3 linked regions of the Callithrix jacchus genome follow. The protein of the gene in region 1 purifies or fractionates together with the protein of each later gene. This does not show direct contact. Links are inferred from orthologs where the notes say so. Each region holds a gene or a part of one and is shown in the gene's direction. Other genes may lie near its edges. The genes, in order: TMEM43, BZW2 and ENDOD1.

What was found.
Region 2: the proteins of TMEM43 (region 1) and BZW2 purify together in Homo sapiens (affinity purification with mass spectrometry; 3 studies listed by BioGRID and IntAct, counting the BioPlex papers as one, with this or other methods). This does not show direct contact. The link is inferred for Callithrix jacchus from reciprocal best matches to the Homo sapiens genes TMEM43 and BZW2.
Region 3: the proteins of TMEM43 (region 1) and ENDOD1 purify together in Homo sapiens (affinity purification with mass spectrometry; 3 studies listed by BioGRID and IntAct, with this or other methods). This does not show direct contact. The link is inferred for Callithrix jacchus from reciprocal best matches to the Homo sapiens genes TMEM43 and ENDOD1.

What each region holds. Positions count from the first base shown.
Region 1 is NC_133516.1:71,100,743-71,104,390, forward strand, and holds part of TMEM43 (transmembrane protein 43), read left to right. Parts: intron 1-1,437; 5' UTR 1,438-1,446; coding exon 1,447-1,587; intron 1,588-2,580; coding exon 2,581-2,715; intron 2,716-3,338; coding exon 3,339-3,433; intron 3,434-3,648. UniProt on the Homo sapiens protein: May have an important role in maintaining nuclear envelope structure by organizing protein complexes at the inner nuclear membrane. Required for retaining emerin at the inner nuclear membrane.
Region 2 is NC_133512.1:41,754,052-41,757,699, reverse strand, and holds part of BZW2 (eIF5-mimic protein 1), read left to right. Parts: intron 1-1,379; coding exon 1,380-1,526; intron 1,527-2,553; coding exon 2,554-2,692; intron 2,693-3,648. UniProt on the Homo sapiens protein: Translation initiation regulator which represses non-AUG initiated translation and repeat-associated non-AUG (RAN) initiated translation by acting as a competitive inhibitor of eukaryotic translation initiation factor 5 (EIF5) function.
Region 3 is NC_133511.1:45,196,865-45,201,037, reverse strand, and holds the start of ENDOD1 (endonuclease domain-containing 1 protein), read left to right. Parts: upstream 1-1,244; 5' UTR 1,245-1,534; coding exon 1,535-1,834; intron 1,835-4,173. UniProt on the Homo sapiens protein: May act as a DNase and a RNase. Plays a role in the modulation of innate immune signaling through the cGAS-STING pathway by interacting with RNF26.

The sequences.
Region 1 (3,648 bases):
ACATTCCCACTAGCTAACACGTGTATAGTGCTTTCCATGCCGTAGGCCCTGAGCCACCCAATAACTATGTTCTTTGGTTCTCACCACAACCCTATGCACCAAGGAAATGGAAGCCACAAAGGGGTGAAATTACTTGCCCAAGACCCCATAGTTGGTATGTGGCAGAGCCTAGATTCAAACCCAGTCCTTCTGGCTCCAGAATCCTTCCCTATGCGATGACACTTTTGATCAGCAGTGGATACACCCCAGATCATGTCTCTGTAATTGGCCAGACAAAGCCTGATCCACTCACCCTTGAGCTTGAGGCCCGCTGTGAACCTGTGCAGAAATGCCAGGCTCTGCCTTTCTTCCCCCATCCCTCCCACAATCCAAGTAAAGCAGATAGGCAGCTGCTCCCTGAGAACCACTTCCGAGTTCCTCATCACTGCTGACACGGTACTCCCCTTTAGGGATGCACTTCCCCTAGAGTCTGCCTCTAAGATGCCACCACTCAAATGCTCCCTCCTCTAGGGAGCCTGTCTTGATACCCCAGCTGGAAGAGGTCTCTCCTTGAGCACCAAGTCCACCCCTCTCACCACACACGCTGCATGACCTCCTAATATTGTTTATGGTTGTGACCTTACTGCCCTAAGACTGTCTACTTCTCTTCTGACCCCACAAGGGCTAGCATTGCCCTCAGAAATCTCAGCCACTGCTTGCTGAATTTCATTAAAAATACATCTCTAATAACCTCTTTGTAAAACAGCTTGGCAGTTTCTTAAAAAGTTAAACATACATATTCTCTGTGAATCAGCAATTCCACTCCTAGGTATATACCTTTGGGAAATGAAAGCACAGGTCTACACAAAGGTTCATATATGAATGTTCACAGCAGCATTATTCATAATAGCCAAAACCTGGAAGCTGCCAAGATACCCATCCCCTGATGAATGATTCAGCACATTGTGGTATAGTCATAAGTGGAATACTACTGAGCCATGAAAAGGAACAAAATCCTGATAAACATCACAACGTGGATGAATTACAAAAGCAGTGCTCTGAGTCCAAGAAGCTGGGCAGAAAGGAGTTTGTGTTCTGATTCCATTTTTCTCAAGTTCTAGAAGAAACAAAGCTAATCTACAGTGGGAAAAATTCAAATTCAAATTCTCCCCCTCCCCACCAGTTACCACCTGTGGTTGGTGGAGAGGGGGAGAATTGGCAGGAAAGGGGCACAAAGAAACTTTCTGGGGTGATGGAAATGTTTTGTACCTTGCTTTAGATGTTGGTCAGATGGAATATATGTTTGTGGAAACCCACCAAAGTGGACATTAAATATCTGTGTATTTTACCAATTACAGTTAAAATTGGAAAAAAAAACCCGAGTATAAATAAATAGCAAATTTCATTTATTTTTAAAAAAACTAATTTCATTCTGTGAATATGTTACTTTTTCTTCAGTATTCCAGTATGAGCACCCGGAGAGAACATGTCAAAGTTACAACCGGCTCCCAGCCAGGCTTCCTGGAACGGCTGAGCGAGACCTCGGGTGGGATGTTCGTGGGGCTCATGACCTTCCTGCTCTCCTTCTACCTAATTTTCACCAATGAGGTTAGCACCTCCCTCAGTCACAGTTGGATCCAAGTGTTCATGCTGGGTCACCAGGAAATCTCCATTTCTTCATGTCTTGCCTGTTTTTCTCTATTGTGGTGTTTTTATTGGGCAGGTACTTCCTCTGTGATGGCAAATGTGGCCCCAGAAACTGGCTTACATCCAACCACTTAGCCCAGGGAAGAGAGAAACCTTTCTTTTTTCCTTCCTTTATTCCTTTCTTTTTTCCCTCCCTCCCTGCCTGTTTCTTCCCTCCTTCCCTCCCTCCCTCCCTTCTTTTTTTCTTTCTTTTCTCTTTCTCTCTTCCTTCCTCCTTCCCTCTCTCCCTTTCTTTTTCTGTTTCTTTCAAAAATAGGACCTCATGATGCAATAGTATATTTCTAAATCATTTTAGCAACAGTTACAGGGCCTCAGTGTCCTGGCTTGGCTCTCAGTCCTCTGAACCAATCTCCCTGGCCAGGCATGACTCACATGTTCTGATTGGCAAGGCCTGGGTCACATGATTTGAACAGGGGTTCAGATAGACCTAGGTAAACCACATGGGCTGAAAGTAGGGAAGGAGTGCCAAGTGTGTTGGCTCAGGCCTATAACCCCAGGACTTTGGGAGGCCAAGGAGGGTGGACTGCATGAGGCTAGAAGTTTGAAAGCAGCCTGGGCAACATAGCAAGACTCTTCTCTACAAAAGGCAGATAAAAATGGGGAGAAAGGTACAAGGCAGGCAGAAACACCAGCTATTCCCACCATTGAGGTGGTGCTAAGATTGGCAGGGGCTGGTGGGAACCAGTGGGGGAGTAGGAAGAAGTCTGCCTGGGAAAGCAGGAATCTGGGTTCTAGTCCTTACTCTCCACTTGCTAGACCTCAGTTTTCCAGCTGTACAGTGGGGAGATGGGTCTCAGTGCTCCCCGAGTCCCCATCCTACCCTGATACTTTGCAACAAGCACAGTCAGGCTGAGCCACCTGAGTTGTTGCAACCCCCACCCCCTTTGCTTCCAGGGCCGCGCACTGAAGACGGCATCCTCGCTGGCTGAGGGGCTCTCGCTTGTGGTGTCCCCTGACAGCATCCACACTGTGGTTCCAGAGAATGAAGGAAGGCTGGTGCACATCATCGGTGCCCTGCGGACATCCAAGGTAGGCTTGGCAGGGATGCTGACCCGCCAGTGGCTCGGGGCTCATCCTGGGTGTTGTCTGGCTGAGGATTTGAAAACATGGGCCTTGGAGATGGTCACACATGGGTGTGATTCCTGCCTCCACCGCTCAGCAGCTGTGTGGACCTGTCAATCCTGAGTCTCAGTGTCTCTATATATAAAATGGGAACGGTAATGATAACAAGCTTGTGGCCAGCCTTGAGGATTTGGTGAGATTAGGTAACTAACATCTTGGTACAGTGGCTGGCACTCAGGGAGGTGCTCTCATGATTGTGATGACCATGTATGTCCATTGCAAGGTCACAGAACTATCTTGGGCACCAGCGCTTTCCTGTTATTTGAACACCCAGAATGCTGTTGGCACCATACCACTGGACCGTGCAGCCCAGGTCCATGCTGTGAGGGTCACAGTCACAGGCAGTACATGTGAAGAACATGGGACGGGGAGCATCCTTGATCCTTCCCTGTGAAGCAGAATAGGGCTCTCCACCCTCATCCCCCTTCTCTAGTTCTTCCACTTCCAGTCCAGTTTCCCCTGAGCCAGGCTTTCTGGGCTGACATGAATCTTATCCTTTATTTTTTTGGTTTCTCTGATTCTGTGTGAAGCTTTTGTCTGATCCAAACTATGGGGTCCATCTTCCGGCTGTGAAACTGCGGAGGCACGTGGAGATGTACCAGTGGGTAGAAACTGAGGAGTCCAGGTGAGGTGCCAGGGGGTGGAAACTGTTGGGGTAAAGGAGGAGTAAGGTGTAGGTGTCAGGATAAAATGCAGATGACTTTCATTGTGATGCCTTTGAAATTCAAGTATAACGTCTTCCTATCAGAAAAGTGTGAAATTATCCTAAAATGAATGGCTAGTGATTTGGAAGTGGCAAAAATCCAGTGAATTGTGGATCCATGAGGAAAGGGAGATTGA
Region 2 (3,648 bases), on another chromosome or scaffold:
GTATGAGCATGTCGGCTTTTTATTTGGAAAGGGAAAGTTTGAATTCACATCATGGGAAAAGAATAGTTGGATAAGTGACTTGTTTAATCCCACTGACACTCGCAATAGCAGTGTTTCCCTATAATGTAAAAGCTCTGTTTTTTTATAATATGCATATACAAAAATACATGTATGCACAGTTATACATGTATTTTTATAATACATATAACTATAGTATACACATGCTACATAGTATAGTTCAGAAAGCTATGACTATTATCTTTTTAAATTTTTAATGTACCTGGAGAAAGCTTTCTGTTTGAAGTTTTACAATCTTTAACACAACAGTTAAAAATTAATATATACAATCCTTTCTTTTTTTCCACTTGCTCCAAAATGCCTGACCCACTCCACCTTCTTCCATGCTCCAAGCCCTGCGTGGCATCTCACATGGTTGAAGGCTGGAGAATGTGGGACTGATAGTATCCAGCAGGTGGGGGTGTTGGAATAACAAATATTCTTATGTCTCATGGTATTAAGGTTAGCAGTATATTCAATCATATTTCTCCAAGCAAGAACTTGCACATTACTTTCCATGAGGAAAAAAAAGCAAAAACAAAAAGCCTTGTGATGCTCGTAGATGCCCTGATGTCACACTTTTATGTGGCTTCCTCCAGCCAACGCAGGAACTGTGACTGCCCAGCTCTTTCTGCTTTTGAAGGCTACTCAAGTCACTGCTGTCATTTCTGCACTCCAGGCCAGAAGTAAAGAAAGCATTGTGTTTCCACTGAAAAAGAAAAGGGAGGAAAAAAAGGTTTACCACTACTCACAAAGTAGTATACTGGAGACATAAATATTGCTGAATTGTTATATATGAAATTAAAAAATTGACCTTGCACTTTAAAATTAATTCACAAAATAACTTTTCATTGCGATGGGGCATAAGGATCATCAAAAGTAATCATTGAAGAATAAATTTTGGAGAATGGACTTGTACAAACCCAAGATGGTATCTATCAAGAGGTTTTAAAGTTTAGGGATGGAGATAAAAGTTCACAACTCTATTGCCTTCTTTAAATCTCAAAAAAGTCAAACTGGCTCAAGTATCTTTACTCTACTAGACTCAAAGGGGTTTCTCTATGAGGAAACAAAAATCCTCTCCAGCAGCTCCTGGCCAGAGCTAAGCCTATTAATTTTGGGGCTAAAAATAAATCTGCTTTGAGAACAAATTATTAAATTTTTTTCTCCCTCTTCTAGTCTGAGAATGCAGACAAGGAAAGGAGAAACGAAGCAGATTGTTTCTCAGCTGCCACAAAGCCTTGATTGACTGGGCAGCTAGGTGGGAGCTGGGAGCTCTCCATCTGTCTGATACTTTCTGACCCCATTTCCGTGAAATGTAGGTGGTGCTTTATGTTAAAGAAGAAATGAAGAGGAATGATCTTCCAGAAACAGCTGTGATTGGTCTTCTGTGGACCTGTATAATGAATGCTGTTGAGTGGAACAAGAAGGAAGAACTTGTTGCAGAGCAGGCTCTGAAGCACCTAAAGGTAACATCTCTTAGCAAGGAACTGACCCAGCTGAGGGCAAACTGCGGCTTTTTTTTTTTTTTTTTTTTTTTTTTGAGACAGTCTCACTCTGTTGCCTCAGCTGGAGTGCAGTGGCACGACCTGGGCTCACTTCATCTTTGAACTCCTGAGCTTAAACCATCTTCCCTCTTCAGCCTCCCAGGCATCTGCGATTACAGGTGCCTGCCACCATACCTGGCTAATTTCTTCATTTTTTGGTAGAGATGTTTGCTCAGTGTGTTGCCCAGGCTGGTCTTGAACTCCTGGATTCAAGTGGAATTCCTGGATTCAAGTGATCCTTCTGCCTCAGCCTCCCAAAGTGTTGGGATTACAGGTGTGAGCCACCACACCTGGCCCACATTTGTCTTAATTAAGACAAATGGGTTCCAACTACAATTACCTCAGACTCAGGCTAAACATATACTTCCCATTATTTTTCAAGGTTGCACTCAGCGTTCATGAGAACATAGCAGTGAGTAAACTGTGCATGTTACTTTGATCAGGGAAGGCCCTTTGGAGGAGATAAGTGTTGAACTGAGTAAGTCTCAGAAAAAACAATGGCTGTGCATCAATGTCAGAAAGTCAAGGGCATTTCTAAATGAATGCTTTTTATCCTGGCAGCTCATCAAGATTCTTTCCCTGTACCCTCTAAGAGACCAAATAAGAGAATCTGCCTGTGTTAAAGATAATTGCTGTGCCTACTCTGTCTAAGGGATATTGTGAAAATGAGATCATATCCTGATATACTTCCATTGCATTAATGGACTGTGGCTCTGCCGTTGAAAGAGTGTGAATCTTCTTCCCAGGGCCCTCACAGGTCCACCATACTGCTTTGTTCTTACTGTTCTGTTCCCCTCACCCCATTGGGCACAATATGATGATAAGAAGGTACTAATCCTGAAAGTGAATCTTTTCTAAGCAACCCTCCAGGTTATTGTTATGGTTTCAGCAGTGTAGGCCCTGTACCTCCCATGTAAGTAATGGCTTTTACTTTCTACTTCTGTTCTAGCAATATGCTCCCCTGCTGGCTGTGTTCAGCTCCCAAGGCCAGTCAGAGTTGATCCTCCTCCAGAAAGTTCAGGAATACTGCTACGACAACATCCATTTCATGAAAGCCTTTCAGAAGATCGTGGTTCTCTTTTACAAAGGTATTCATCCACGTGCCACTGCTGTGCTTCTGTGTTTTGCTGAAGCTCTTTGAGGGGCAGAGCAGGGGATGAGGCAGAGGAGGTCACTGGGCTCTGTTTAGAGAGGAACAGCAAGATGCTAATTTGTGGAAGTTTTATTGAGGCAACGTTACCACGGAGAGAGAGGAGGCACACACGCCATATATGCGTTGCCTCGGAAATCCTGCTTAGGCCCCTGGGCCCTTCTCATTGGTAGATGAACTAGTGATTATTGTTTCTTAGGGATAGTGGGAAAAAAATGCAGTTATGTAAAATTGAGCCTGTTTTTGAATTGCAAGGATTAGCTCTAATAACAATGATTATCAAAATGCTATATATATTATGTTGACATGCTTTTAGGCACCATAAAACTGACTTTAAAATTACTGAAATAATTAGACTTTTTACTTTGGATTTTAGTTACTTGGCCCAGCCATTCTCCTATTTTCCAAGGGAATGGCTATTTTTAGGTTTCCACATTTACTGTCTTTTCATTGTATTTATAAGGATTAGGTTACCATGACAACTGGCACTAAAAAATGAATGCTAAAGGTTTTAACTGATCTCAATCTGTATACCTACAGCATACAAAAATGTCCTAGGCTATTTTTTAGGCGTAAATTTATGTCGTTTCGTGAGGGAGAAAAAGGAACACTTAATTATACATTTTGAACATTATAACATGCTTATTTTGTTATTATATTCATAAGCATCATGATGTCAGAAAAGTTAAATTAATACCAGCCAAATGTTTCTTTTCTTTTTGATGTGTTCCTAAATTTATCTATTTTGAATGATATCTTGGAAATTTGGAAAATAAAGGTTTTACATAAGTAATAGCTCTTTTAAAAATGTTGAATAGCATTTCACAATGAATTTTAATTGACTATATAGATTCTTCAAATGAATGAATCTTGTTCATAAGTATTTAGGTCATA
Region 3 (4,173 bases), on another chromosome or scaffold:
GTGTTGGAAGACCTCAGGGCCATAGTACCCTGAATAATATGACCCTTACCTCCTTCTTTTTTTTTTGAGACGGAGTTTCGCTCTTGTTACCCAGGCTGGAGTGCAATGGTGCGATCTCGGCTCACCGCAACCTCCGCCTCCTGGGTTCAGGCAATTCTCCTGCCTCAGCCTCCTGAGTAGCTGGGATTACAGGCACGCGCCACCATGCCCAGCTAATTTTTTGTATTTTTAGTAGAGACGGGGTTTCACCATGTTGACCAGGATGGTCTCGATCTCTTGACCTCGTGATCCACCCGCCTCGGCCTCCCAAAGTGCTGGGATTACAGGCTTGAGCCACCACGCCCGGCCCCCTTACCTCCTTCTTCAGCCCCACTTCCCATCATCCCCCATGCAGTTATCCATCCTTTGCCTACACTAGCCTTCCTTAAATTCCTCCAATGCATCATGTTCCCTTCCGTGAGAGACCACTGAGCACATGGTTCTCCTCCTTGCCTAGTTAATGTCATCCTCCAGGTCTCAGCTCAGATGCCACTTCTTCAGGCAAACTTTCCCAGATTACATCCCGAACCCCTGTAGCCATCAGGGTCTCACAGATCTGTGTTCAGTTTTTAGTTATCCCTTTAATAGCATGCTTCCTCGGTTAATGACAAGCTTTCCGACTAGGCTGTCTTTGTGACCGCAGGGGCCCTGTTCTTGTTTACCCTGTGGTAATCCAGTGCCTATCTCAGGGTGGCACCTAGGCATTCAGAGGGATAAATGAAGGAAAGAACTGGCTAACCTATCCACCAATGACATTGGCTGACCTCCTTCCTTGCTTGGCATCGGTTTGGTTTCTAAGCCTTGCACCTAGAAACCACAGTAGGGTTGTACTGTCTGCCTAGTTTAGGGACTTCCTTTCACAGGATTCCTTGAGTCTCCGAGTTTCTGATGAGCTAAAAAACAAAACGAAACAAAAACCTGCATCAAAATTGTATGCCTGTGCTGGCGGTTGAGCACTTCGGTGGAGCGGGGGAGACGGTATTCATGAGATTACAGAGGGGAACTCTGCCGGTTCACTCCGAACAGCCGCAGCTCCGGGAACATCTCACGCCGCCCCTCTGCATCCCCAGGACGGCCGTGGGGCGCACACCATCAGCAGGCTTCTTGGCGCCCAGTCCAGGCGACTGTCCCTTCCCAGCCCCTTGGACAAGGCCCGCCCCACTCGGATTCTCCATTCTTAGCAGCTCACGTCCCCGCTGACTGCTGAGACCAGGCGGCGCAGCGGCAGGTGACCGCGTCTCCAGTCCCGGGCGCAGCCCAAGGGAGGTTATCAGCACCGCAGAGCCGGGCCCCGGCCTCTGCAGCCATCTTCGGCGAGGTAGGCGCGGCCTCCAGACGCGGACCCGCCCCCGCCGCCCGGGCCGCCCCCCTGGCTCCGCCGAGCGCCGCGCCTGGGTTCCTACTTCCCTTCCCTACCCGGCCCGGCTGCGTCGCGCTCCGCGCCCAGTTCGCAGAGCTCCAGCCGCTCTGCCCTGCCGCGCTCGCAGAGGCCGCCATGGGCACCGAGCGCTGGCTTGCGCTGGGCAGCCTCCTCGCCCTGGCCGGGCTGCTGGAAGGCCGGCTGGTAGGCGAGGAGGAGGCCGGCTTTGGCGAATGTGACAAGTTCTTCTACGCCGGGACCCCTCCTGCGGGTCTGGCAACAGATTCCCACGTGAAGATCTGTCAGCGCGCGGAGGGCGCTGAGCGCTTCGCCACCCTCTACAGCACCCGGGACCGCATCCCAGTGTACTCCGCGTTCCGCGCCCCGCGCCCGGCGCCCGGCGGCGCCGAGCAGCGTTGGCTGGTGGAGCCGCAGGTAAGCTAAGCGGTTCCCTAGCCGGGCTGCGCGCGTTGGGGGCCGTGCCGCTGGACTTGCCCCCAGGGGCGCTTTGCAGCCACCCGGAGGGGCCGGGCCGGGAACAGCAATCCCCACGCCTTCTGTGCCTTGGGCCAAGAAACCCGGGTTCCAGACCCACCCCGTTGCGCCCCCGAAGTTTAGCCGGCCTCGCCCCCTGTGGAGGCTGCAATAAGAGCCTGGCTATCCGCGAGTCATCACTTCACTTCAAGAGCTGCAGGGGCGGGAGGTCCCCTGTTGGAGGAGGTTCTCCCTGCATTTCTGCGCAGACATCTGCAGTGTTTCATTCGTTTCCTGAATTTGTGAAGGGTGAGACAGAGACCCTGGAGACGGTTTAGATCCGCAGAAAGCCTTGGCTGGGCGCTCCCAGGCCTTCGTGCAAGTCATTGCCATAGCACTCATTTGGAGGTGGGGAGGTGGGTATTTTCATCCCCATTTTACAGCAGAGGAGATTACAACCCAGGGGGATGAAGAGACATGCGGAAGACCACCCAGCTAGTAAGATGGTGCAGGTCTTTTGGCTAGGAATTCACTAGCCCTTTCTACTAAGGAAAACTTCCCTTTGCAGAGCTCATCTCCTGGCCTGAAAATCCTTCCTTCTACACGTGGCATTGAGTAAATTCTATCTGTGGTTGTGCTGAGTTAGACAATAAAATAGAGGTATAGATTTTTAGAAACGCAGTGGGATAGTTACACACGATAGGGAAGCATTGACTACCTCCAACTGATGGAAAGACAAGCCAGTTTTTCCTGACTCTTCATATCTATATTATCAGACCACTAGGAAATCATGTCGCCTCCCATGGTGTTGTGTCCCATCTGGTAAAGGTAACCAAACACTGGAGAAGCCCTCAGAGGCTGCCGAACCTGCTGGCCTGCTCTTAACACATCCTGGCTCACCTCTGCTCACTTGGCCTCCTCTCTAGAACACCCTGCCAGGCTCCCCTTTACCCTCTCACCAGCTTCCCACCCCTGCTCAGGCTGCCAGGGGAGGAGCTGACCCAACTGTCTTCCTTTCCTGATGGCCACAGCTGCCCAGGACCACACCCATGGACAGGAGGCTGGCTTTCAGGTGCTTTATTCAGAGGCTGCGGGTTTTTACTTCATTCAGCTATTTCTAGCTCTGAGGTCTCCACCAGTTCTCAAACAATCTGCACCTAGTTTTCTTATCTTCCTCACATCCTTCCACCTACCTCAGCTGTTGATAACACCTGTTGAGATCAGGCATGTGAAAAAGACTTTGTCAATTGCACACACAAGACACATTTAAATCCAAAATTAGTTTTCCTTCAGCTGCACCTCTAGAGCTCAACTCACATCTCATCTTGCTTTGTGATTGTGTGCCTATGAAGAAAACAAATGACCTAGTCCTTTCTCCTTGATCTCATGGACAGTTCAGGGAGACCGAATATATGTCTGAGGAAATCCTGGGAATGCAAGCTAAATGAATTTCAGCTAAATTCAGAACACATTTAGTGATCTCTTGCTGTATGCCAGACATTTGGGATATCAAGAGATCTGAGTGCAGTTCTAGGACAAAGGCTTCCTGGTCTGCAGGTGGAGTTTGCTTGGTGGAGAGGTGGCATAGTATTTGATTAGAGCTATGCTATGTGGGTTCAAATCCCAGTTGCTCCACTGACTAGCTATGAACTTGGGCAGGTTAAATTGGAGATAATAGCAGAGGGTGGTGTGAGGATTTAATGAGTTACCATATGTAAAGTTCTCAGAGAGGCGTGTGACACAGGAGTATTAGCTGTTGCTATGACATAAACAAAAAAACCCCATAATTTAATAAAAGGGTAGCAAAGTCCTATTAGATTTAATCTGTCTTTGAGGTGATGGAAGCAAGCCTTAGGGTCAGGTTGACATTTGTGCTGTGCCTGGAAAGATAAGGACAGAAGGGAGGTAAGAAGGGAGACAAGGAGGAGGACATTTCAAGCAGAGGGAACACCATGAGTGAGAAAGGCATGGCAGATTCAGGGATTTATGCATGGAGAAGTTGGAACAGGTAAACTAATACAAATAAATTAATGTGTTCAAGTGCTCAGAATAAAGAGGAATCATGGAAGGGAGGGATCAGCTAGGGAGGAGTGACCAAGGAAGGCTTAGGGAGGCAGAGCCATTTATGCATCTAGGGAAGGAGTGAGTCATAAAGGAGTGTAGTTTGACAGAAAGAAGTGGAGGGAACCTGGTGACATGGGAACCTGGGTGGGATAATGAGGAAGGGGACTGTGGAGATTAAAGAAGATGGGAAGGGTGGGTGGAAATAGTTACAAATGGCAGCTTGAGAGGTAAGATGT